2 linked regions of the Arabidopsis thaliana genome follow. The protein of the gene in region 2 interacts with the protein of the main gene of each other region in a pairwise test. Each region holds a gene or a part of one and is shown on either strand. Other genes may lie near its edges. The genes, in order: PAO1 and NYE1.

Region 1 (5,543 bases), on a different chromosome or scaffold from region 2:
ATAAGACCGCTGATTTGCCTAAGGCCCATTTATGGTATTCTACAAAGGAGGTGATCCAAGCTCTCAAACTTTTCCTGGAAGCTGGGGATGATCTGTCAAGGAGCTTAACATATAGGTAGATGCAAGTAGAGATAGATTATCTACCATTTTAGTGGTTACAGATTCCTTTGGGTTTTGCTTGCAGGTATGACATGGTTGATTTGACGCGTCAAGTTTTATCGAAGCTAGCAAACCAGGTGTACACCGAAGCAGTGACAGCTTTTGTAAAGAAAGATATCGGAAGCTTAGGACAATTGAGTGAGAAGTTTCTGGAGCTTATAAAGGACATGGACGTTCTACTTGCTTCGGATGATAATTGCCTTCTGGGGACATGGCTGGAGAGTGCAAAGAAGTTGGCCAAAAACGGTGATGAAAGGAAACAGGTGTAACATCATTCTTGTTCTTGGAACGTGCGGGTAGAAGAAGTAGATTACTTGCTCACTTTGTTTCTCTGTGTACAGTACGAGTGGAACGCGAGAACGCAAGTGACAATGTGGTATGACTCGAACGATGTGAACCAAAGCAAGCTTCATGATTACGGTAAGATATAAACTTAAAAAAAAAGATTCTCGAGTGGATAGAGCTTTTTAAAAAACTGTTATGTTTTATGATCATCATCATCAGCAAACAAGTTCTGGAGTGGGTTACTTGAAGACTACTACTTACCCCGAGCGAGGTTGTATTTTAATGAAATGCTGAAAAGTTTAAGAGATAAGAAGATATTCAAGGTAGAGAAATGGCGAAGAGAATGGATAATGATGTCACACAAATGGCAACAAAGTTCATCAGAGGTCTATCCAGTTAAGGCAAAAGGAGACGCGTTAGCTATTTCAAGGCATCTGTTGAGTAAATACTTCCCATGAGTTTACTCAAGAGTAGCTCAAACGAATAAATAAAATAAACAAAAGGGTTGGGTTTCTACTTTCTAGCTTGTGCCTGAGATAAATTTAACATTTGTGTAAATTTGAGAGTTATTAGGCTTCTGATGTGTTAGTGTAAGAGACTCGGTGAAGGCCAATAAAGGTTGTAACAACAAACTCTGCTTCATCTCTTCCAACAAAGATTTACTTGTGTCAATACCTGCAAGGTATCCTCCATGTACATACCCACTGAACTTTTCACTTGTGTGTTCTCCTGTAAAGAATATCCGTCCAACTGGGGCCTGAATAAACATAAACCTCTTAAATTTCTGACAGACATGTGTATGTGTGTGCGTCTTAATAACAACAACAAAATGTGTTTACCTTGATATTTTGCAGAAGCTGATTATCAGATATCATAGGGTAATTACTGTAGCTACCGCGTTGAAACCGGTTGTTCCACCACCTGGGGACAAGAATATCGGTTGCGTAAGGAATGGTGGCCCCAAACATGTCCCTGAGAACACTCATTGCCTCTTTCATCGTCTCCTGGTCTGATTGAGCTTCAACGCGCTTTGATTGTTCGTTGGTCAACGTCACCACCAGAATGTTAGAGCCCGGGTACGCATTTTCCATGTGCTGTTACCAAAAGCACACATATAAGCTTGAGAGGAGAGCAAGCAAGTTGTAGTATGCATACACATTATTATATTATTGTGTGAATTCTATACTCTTACCCACATGGATCATGCCGCTAGTTAGAGACACTCAAGATAATATAAAAGCAATGATAGTGTTAAATCAAAGGGACCCCCAGGTGTTTAATTTTAAGATTAGAGAGTCAATATGTGCCACGTTTCGACCTTAAGTGGAACGACCAAAAAGATGCATCGACATTAACAAACAATTACAATCTCATTATTAAGGGAAATTTAACCTGCCAAAAGGTGAAATAGCCGCGTTGTTCGTGTGCATAAATGAAAAACTCTTGACCAGGACCACATGGCCAGAAACATTGAGGGAATTTCAGGAAGATCTTGGTGTACACCATCACATCACATTTTTGTATAGCTTCTGTTTTCCATCTCTGTCACCAAATATAAATTTTGGATAGTAAGCATAATAATGCATATAGACACCAAAATATTTGACTTGCTATCCTAATGGCTGATACAATTTAATATTTCCCTAGATTCATGCACATTGATTGATTAAACATCTACACCTTGTATCTTTTAAAATGTTAAATAAGCATAAAAGGTAAGACCAATGAGTAGTTGATCATAAATTATGATTATATGAGAAGAAGAAGAGAAAGTAAACTAACGGGTAAAAGGGGTTGGAAGGAGAGAAGATCAGATTGGAGAACACCGATACTCGCAGACACGATCACATAATTAGCTTCGTATACGGAACCATCCTCTGTCTTCACCACTACCCCATTCCTAGACTGTTGCACCTCCCTAACTACCTGCCATTAATTCCCACAACTTCATCACACTATTGCTCCTCCAATATAGATTACTAATATAACACACAGCTTTCAAAGTTAAGCCAGCTGGTTTATGAGAGAGGCAATAAATACAACACGCTCATTCATGCATACCCCACAATAATGCTTCCCAAGAAACTATCAACTTTCAATAGAAAACTGTTACTATACTAAACAAAAATATAGCTACAAGGACCCGGAATGTAATCAATTCCACTATACACCAAAGGCTGAGAGAACCTTAGCAGAAAAAAAGATAATGCAAATCAATCAACCTAATAGAGAGTGACAACAGCTAAAAAGCAAAAGTAGCTTTCCAAATAACGTCAATATATACTCTTTTAACTCAAAACCTAATCAATATCAGAGATCTTACTATACCTGGTTTAGTTTGAGGCGGTAGTCCAAGATATTTCCATGTGAGGTAACGAGAAATTCCTCAGCCATTTTATAAAGTAAACATTCGTAACCTCTTTCATCAGCAACCAAGAACTCTCTTTCACCAAAGTCTACATAAGTGGATATTGGCTCTACCTCTGAAATTAGTAGTATAAAGAATCAATCAACCAATCAATCTGCGACATTATTATCATGTGTGTTTCTCAAGAACTCACCAGCCATCTCAAAATCATGCAAGATAAAGTCAATGGCTAGTTCTATTGGCGTCTTCGGTGACCTAAACACCAAACCAAAACACATTAGAATCGAAGCAAAATAAAAAAACCAGTAAGCAAAACAGAGAGGATCAAAACGCACGAAGGAGCTTCTTCAGCTACTTGACCAGAACATTGAGCTTCAAGGCTCTTTAACTTGAGAATCGCCGAGTCAACCGCCTTTTTATACGAGTCAGAAGCGATTCCCGTCGGGAAGATTTTACCACTGCAAAATTCAATCAACGGAAAATAAATCTTTGATTCTTGAGGATTGAGTTACATTAATAATCAGGGGATCAGTTTTAACCTTCGATCGTAGATATTGAAACGAGCATTGGTGTAATCGGAAAAGCAAGTACGGAGGTTAAAACGCGAGGCAAGTTCCCAAACGGGATTAGACTCTTTACCACCGACACCGGCAATCCAACCGGCGCCAAGCTCCACCGGCACGTCACCGAAATTCTGTTTATGTATTCTTCCTCCGATCCGATCCGTCGCTTCCAGTATCAATACATCTTCTACTCCGTTCTCGACGAGAACCTTCGCCGCCGATATTCCTGAATTTCAAAACAAAATTCCGTTAGTTATTTTATAAAGAGCACGAGTGTTAATGGATGTTTTGATCCGAACCGGAGATTCCAGCGCCAATGATGATGACGGAGGCGGTAGACATTAGAGAGAGAGCGAAAGGTGTTTGTTAGTTTGTTGGTTGGGGCGAGAGGAGAAGGAGTTGGTTCGTTTTCGTTTCGTTTGGGGTTTATATATATAGAGAGAGAGAGAGGAAGGAGGAGGAATTCTACTTCTACTCGAACTTAAACACCTGAGAACGCGTGTATGTGACGCGCTTTGCGTACACGGTACCTGTGTCAGGGTTTTTGGCATCAAACAAGGCTAGTGACGATAATTGTTTTTCTCAGGTGTATATCTTATCAGGACGGGCCTGAATATTCTAAAGCCCAATAAAAGTTATGGCCCACTAAATGAAATTATTTTAAAGAAAATATTTCAAACAAGAGATTTGGTTGAGAGGTTTTTTTTTTTTTTTTATCGACTGGTTGAGAGGTTTTTGTACCCTCTAATACGTTTTGAGAAAACTATTGTCATTTATGCACTTTCTCATTAGGATGAGCTGCGAAGATGTTTTTTTACTCTTGTTCTGAATTATATGGAGCGACTAAGAAAATGCAAAAGAGATAGCAAGAAAAAACATTTCTTCTAAGTTGTTTTTATTCTGTTTACTTTTGACATTTTTTCCTCTGACTTGTCATAATTCAATCCACGATCAACAAATTAGTTTCTCCTTTATCAAAGACAGAGAATTGAATTCAAGAGAATTTTATAATCAGATCTATGGAGAGGTAGTGTTAAAAAACAAAACAAAAAACCATGGAGGAAAAACAAAGATTCTCCCTTATCATTAAAGGAGCGGACAAAGGAGGTGGTGTCAGCAAAATATCAGGAATCAGGAGGCCCCACTTTTGAATCTTGGCATAAAACGACAAAAGAAAAAGGTTTTTGAGATCTAAAGAGAAAGAAAGATTCCAAGATATTTTGGGCATGTGCACATGATTCAGATTTCAGGCAGAGTGCACATGAACAACACGTGACATGTTACGAACATCCAAAATATAGTTGGTGAATAAGAAACTCTGCAACAAATCCGATAAACATAGAAAATAAGACTGCAAATTGAGAAATTTTGTCACTTCATTCGACCTACGATGACCATCGCCATCTCTCATCCGCTTACTCTGGCTTCCGGGCCAAGAAGAAATACATTGGCGTGAAAATCTCTCTCCTGAGAAACATTTATCCAAGAAGAGATTTAGAATTCTACCCCAAAAAAGATAAATCTAAAGTGAATCTTGATGGTCTGAATAAATAAAAGTTGGGATCCTCTCACCTTCCACCGTCGACTAATCCTTCCGCAGCCTGCTCCAGGAAATTTGAGACCCTTTGGCTTCCTTGAGGTGCAAGTCTTATGTATTCAAGGATCTTGACCTACCACATAAATAACAATGACAAGTTCGGATAAATGAACTACTAATAGTTTATGGGATTTGGCAGATTAGTTAGAGCAAGTTTTTTACCATGTTTTTGGTTATGAATCGTCCAACAGCTGTAAGGCGGAAGCTACTGAGTGAGAAATGATTTTTGTCAAGAGGTAAGTACCATGGGACCGGCGAGTCCTTGGCCAGATCCTTTTCCCATATCACCTTCATCCAACGCAGAGGATAATAGTATTTAGATGTTGAAATGTTGATGTGTTTGGAAATACAGAGGATCCATAAAATCAGATACTTACTTCAAAACCGGCCTGCTTCAGAGCTTCGAGGCATTTTGTAGTCAGCCTAATGTCAGGAAGACCATCTCCAATCTCTATCTCTCCCTGAAAAATGGAGTCTTTGTTTGTATTCATGTTGATAATAAAAGCACAAATAAATAATATGGATAGATGCAAGGGACACACTAACCTTTATTTTCTGATGTTCGGCGTTA
Region 2 (4,581 bases):
TGAAGATTTTCTCGCGGTCAAAGACATCGATACTCGGATCTGTGACCTCCCCATGAACCTAATCAAAACATTCCTCAGACAAGACAAAGACAAAAATACAAGTCTATGTGGTGTATGATTTATTTACCAGCAAAGGCATGTTTTGTTTGACCATCTCTTCTAGTACCGGTAAGCATTTTCCAAAGAGATCCGTGACACCATCTTGAGAGTTGGTTGTTGCTCCGGCAGGGTACAGCTTCACCGCATAAACCACACCACTTTCCCCTAATAACAAGATCATATATGCATAAACTGAACATTAGCAAGTAGAATCTCAATCAGAAAGATGAAAATGTATCTGATTAGTTTGCAACAAGATGGAGAAAGCACAGGTACTTACTTGCAAGCCTGATCTCTTCAGGTAGAGTTTTGTCAGTCAAATAAAGTGTCATAAGTGGATCAAAGCTACTCTCAGATGGCAAAGCTTTCATGATAAATTTCCGGTAAATAATGGCAGCTGCAGTGGAGGTGACAGGAGGCTTCAGATTCGGCATCACAATCGCTCTCTTAAAATTACTCGCACTGCACATAATTACATACACCATTAACCATCATGTACAGCACAAGCATCAACGCCAGCACAAGATTGTGATTGAGGAATTCATACATAACAAACAATGGTTCCACAAGAAACACCAATAGCAAACAAAAAAGTGGCTGCAAAACAAAGTAAAGCAAGGAAAGAAAAGAAAGATTGCAGGATGTTTATAAGACCTGTGGGGAACAACAGCATGAAGAAGATCACCGTCACGGAGATGAAGATGCCAATCATCAGGTTGAGTGATTGTGAGCTCCATTCTTACTGCTCTCGTCTTCACTTTCTCAGAAGATCTGTCAAACTTCAACTTCTGAGATCCAAATCCCTACATAAAGAATAAAATAGTTGACTTTAACAGACGCATAGGAGGAATTAAATAAAATTAAAACTGGATCACGTGGATTGAACTAAACAAGAATAAGACTCAAAGAGTGGTGGAGGTAGAGTACATACACTATAAGGAGAGACCAAAGTCTTTATCATCTGAAAGCTGCTCAAGGCTTTGCAAGAATTCACCTGTTCCAAAGCAAATGACAAGTAGACTCAGATTCTATAACATGACCTTAAAAAATTGACTCTGTTCTAAAGTATTAGCAGGCACTAAAACTATTCAATCATCATCAAAAGATTTCGCATTCCTTTGGTTCAATGTTTCTCCAAACGAAATTTAGTATCCAGATTAATCAAATTTCTATACACACAAATGGGTATCAGCAAAATCCAAAGAAATCAAATTATCCAAACAATAAACCACAAAATGGCGAAACTGGTAAACACCTAGAAACCAAAATCGAAAACTTGAACTTGTTTAGGTAAGCAATACGAACCTGGATAAACGAAATGCACAACAGGGATGCTTACAACACAAACAAAACGAACCCCAAAAAGAGTGATTTGAGGAAGAGATTGAAGGAGAAAGAAGAAGAAAAAACAGTACTCGTGTTTTGTTGTTTACAAGATACGACGTCGCTTAACGTAAAAGAAGAAGAAAAAAATAAAAGCTCTGTAACAGGCCAGCCCAATTTTAGCCCGATATTTTTAATGGACCTGGACCTGATCACAAATTTCAGCCCTTTTTAACATCCTTATGGATCAACATGGGACTCTCTGACTCCTCCGGTTCCATCAATACCTGCGTTTGTTGTCCTTGTTCACGACGATTCAAGCGAAGAAGCCTCTCGAGTTTCACAGGTCTAATAACTAAACCGAGTAATCGAGTCGAATGACATTAAATTGAACCGAAACTAAACCGTATTGCTTTAGGTTCGACTGACAACTACAGTACGTGAGTTAGGTTCGGTTAGAGCCGAATCTGTGTCTCTTTGTCGCAACGAGATGGCTAAAGTTATCCAAAAAGACGGTTAGAGCCAGTTGTTAGCCCCACCATGACGACACATGGGGAAGCTCATGCAAAGATTAGAGAACACGTGGCACTCTCTCGTGTTCAGAAAAATTCCAAAAGAGTGTTCAGATTTGGGCACGGAAGTGTGAAACGTGAAGCAACAATCCCTTTTAAACACAAGAACCAACTCAATACGCATCACAAAGAACCCTAAATTCCTGGAAGATCTCAAAAGGAAAATTCAAAACCAAAGCTTCAAGCAATCATCAAGCAAAGGAAAAGCTCAAATTTTGGGTCTTTTATATATTTATTTCTTAAAGTTACAATCTTTTTGATTGTGGTTTCAGTGTACGAACACGCAAGAACTCGCGTGAAAAAATTGTATCCAAGCTTCGTGAAAGGAGTCTCTCTGTATTTAGTGGCGTTTTGTTCTGTTGTTATTTCTGAAATATTGAAGCTTTTGATTTGGGTTTCAAGAGAGCAGAGATGTGTAGTTTGTCGGCGATTATGTTGTTACCAACGAAGCTGAAACCAGCTTATTCAGACAAACGGAGTAACAGTAGCAGCAGCAGCTCACTCTTCTTCAACAATAGAAGATCCAAGAAGAAGAACCAATCGATTGTTCCCGTAAGGATTTGTTCTCTTAATCATTTTGACATATCTTTGTTTTATGTGTCTCAGTTATGGATATATCTATGCCTCTGTCTTTATTGATGGAACTTGAAACTTTTGGGATCGGTGCAGGTTGCAAGGTTGTTTGGACCGGCGATTTTCGAATCATCCAAATTGAAAGTACTCTTCTTAGGGGTTGATGAGAAGAAGCATCCTTCAACGCTCCCTAGGACTTACACACTCACTCACAGTGACATTACAGCTAAACTAACCTTAGCTATTTCTCAATCCATAAACAACTCTCAGGTAAAAACACCTCTCTCTCTGGTCTTAACATATCTACATGGCTCTGTTTATAGGAGTAGAATGTTTATGTATTTGATTATTTGGAGCAAATATTAGAGGCTTATGTATGATTGTTTTAACCTATGTATGTGTCTATATTCACCAGAATCTCTTAACACTTTAGAGGCTGATATGTATAGAAATGTTTTTTATAGTTGCAAGGATGGGCAAATAGGCTATACCGGGATGAAGTTGTGGCAGAATGGAAGAAAGTGAAAGGGAAAATGTCGCTTCACGTTCATTGTCACATAAGCGGTGGCCATTTCCTTTTAGATCTCTTTGCAAAGTTTCGATATTTCATCTTTTGCAAAGAACTACCTGTGGTAAGTTCCCAAATTCATAAGAAACTTTTTATTGGTTTCATGTAAAACAAAATGTTTATTGTTTTGATATATACAGGTGTTGAAGGCTTTTGTGCATGGAGATGGGAACTTGTTGAACAACTATCCTGAGCTACAAGAAGCTCTTGTTTGGGTCTATTTCCATTCTAATGTCAATGAGTTCAACAAAGTCGAGTGTTGGGGTCCGCTTTGGGAAGCTGTTTCGCCTGATGGTCACAAGACTGAGACTCTTCCCGAGGCTCGGTGTGCGGACGAGTGTAGTTGTTGTTTTCCAACCGTTAGCTCGATTCCATGGTCTCATAGTCTTAGTAATGAAGGTGTAAATGGTTACTCTGGGACTCAGACTGAGGGAATTGCTACTCCAAATCCGGAGAAACTCTAGTGACTAAATATCAAATTACAAGTTTTTCTTTTGGTAGTTTGTACAAAGTGAAAAGGAAATGGCAGGACTTTCCTTTTGGTGGATCTAAATATTGGTTTGGTTTGGTGTACATAATGTGGTATAGGAAAATAATGATTATTTGTAGGTTAAATACAGATTTTAAAGTTTCAAATGGTATTTTGTGTCTACTCTGAAGTCTTTATCATAGTTGTATACTTGTATTGTATCTCATCCACAAGATCAAAATGTAAATTTCTTACAGATTAGCTAATATTAAAGGTGACAGACTGGTATAGTACTACTGCAATGCAAACATAAAGATGAATAAATTGTTGTTTAATGAACATATATATTTTAATATATCAAAACATTCATGAGAATCATCACCAATTTAAAGTTATACTAATATCCCAAATAAGAATAGTTTAGAAATATGAAGATATTCATGAGAATCATCACCAAAGTAACAATAGACGTATATTAAGGACCGAATTCGTCGGTGTAACGGTGAGAAACTAAGGAGAAACGTGAAGGTAAAGAGATGGCAAAAGACTTTGTCTCTCTGGTGGTTTTGCAAAGCGTATCAGCCACTTCTTGCTCCTAATGATTCCAAATTATTTTCTTGGATTTATTTGGTCTCTTTCTTCAATATCTTTTTCATTTTATAACCAAATCAAGATGACTTTTTTTCTCTGACCCCATTCGTCTATCTAATTTACGACCAAATACACCAAATACAGAAAGAGAAGAAGAACAAGTAATATAAGAGAATGGTAACGAATTATTGCATTATTATCATGGGCTTATTTTATAAAATGTTGTGTTCGTAAGTAAATAAATACAAAAGAAACTATATTTTGATATATGAAGAAAAATTGAATAAAGATATACACTTTGGAAAATTTTGGGGGAAAATGTTGTGCATCTTGATGGAAACCCAAAGATCGTGATTAAATCAAAAGGGTTAGATCTTGTTGCATCC

The links.
Region 1: the proteins of NYE1 (region 2) and PAO1 interact in a protein complementation assay, tested with the Arabidopsis thaliana proteins (one study listed by BioGRID).

Annotation. Positions count from the first base shown.
Region 1 is NC_003076.8:4,419,258-4,424,800, forward strand, and holds PAO1 (polyamine oxidase 1), read right to left. Parts: upstream 3,839-5,543; 5' UTR 3,718-3,838; coding exon 3,675-3,717; intron 3,602-3,674; coding exon 3,352-3,601; intron 3,271-3,351; coding exon 3,148-3,270; intron 3,068-3,147; coding exon 3,006-3,067; intron 2,928-3,005; coding exon 2,773-2,927; intron 2,371-2,772; coding exon 2,227-2,370; intron 1,987-2,226; coding exon 1,837-1,986; intron 1,539-1,836; coding exon 1,284-1,538; intron 1,202-1,283; coding exon 965-1,201; 3' UTR 903-964; downstream 1-902. Other genes in the region: CYL1 (alpha-N-acetylglucosaminidase family / NAGLU family), read left to right, coding at 1-115, 185-422, 501-579, 664-902; SMT1 (sterol methyltransferase 1), read right to left, coding at 4,791-4,842, 4,948-5,045, 5,135-5,260, 5,350-5,433, 5,519-5,543.
Region 2 is NC_003075.7:12,015,794-12,020,374, reverse strand, and holds NYE1 (non-yellowing 1), read left to right. Parts: upstream 1-1,731; 5' UTR 1,732-1,768; intron 1,769-1,840; 5' UTR 1,841-2,405; coding exon 2,406-2,546; intron 2,547-2,663; coding exon 2,664-2,837; intron 2,838-3,031; coding exon 3,032-3,199; intron 3,200-3,275; coding exon 3,276-3,599; 3' UTR 3,600-3,912; downstream 3,913-4,581. Other genes in the region: PYR4 (pyrimidin 4), read right to left, coding at 1-58, 128-264, 380-561, 754-902, 1,031-1,060. UniProt on the Arabidopsis thaliana protein: Magnesium chelatase involved in chlorophyll a degradation in the chlorophyll-protein complexes of photosystem I (PSI) and photosystem II (PSII). Contributes to the degradation of PSI and PSII in the thylakoid membranes.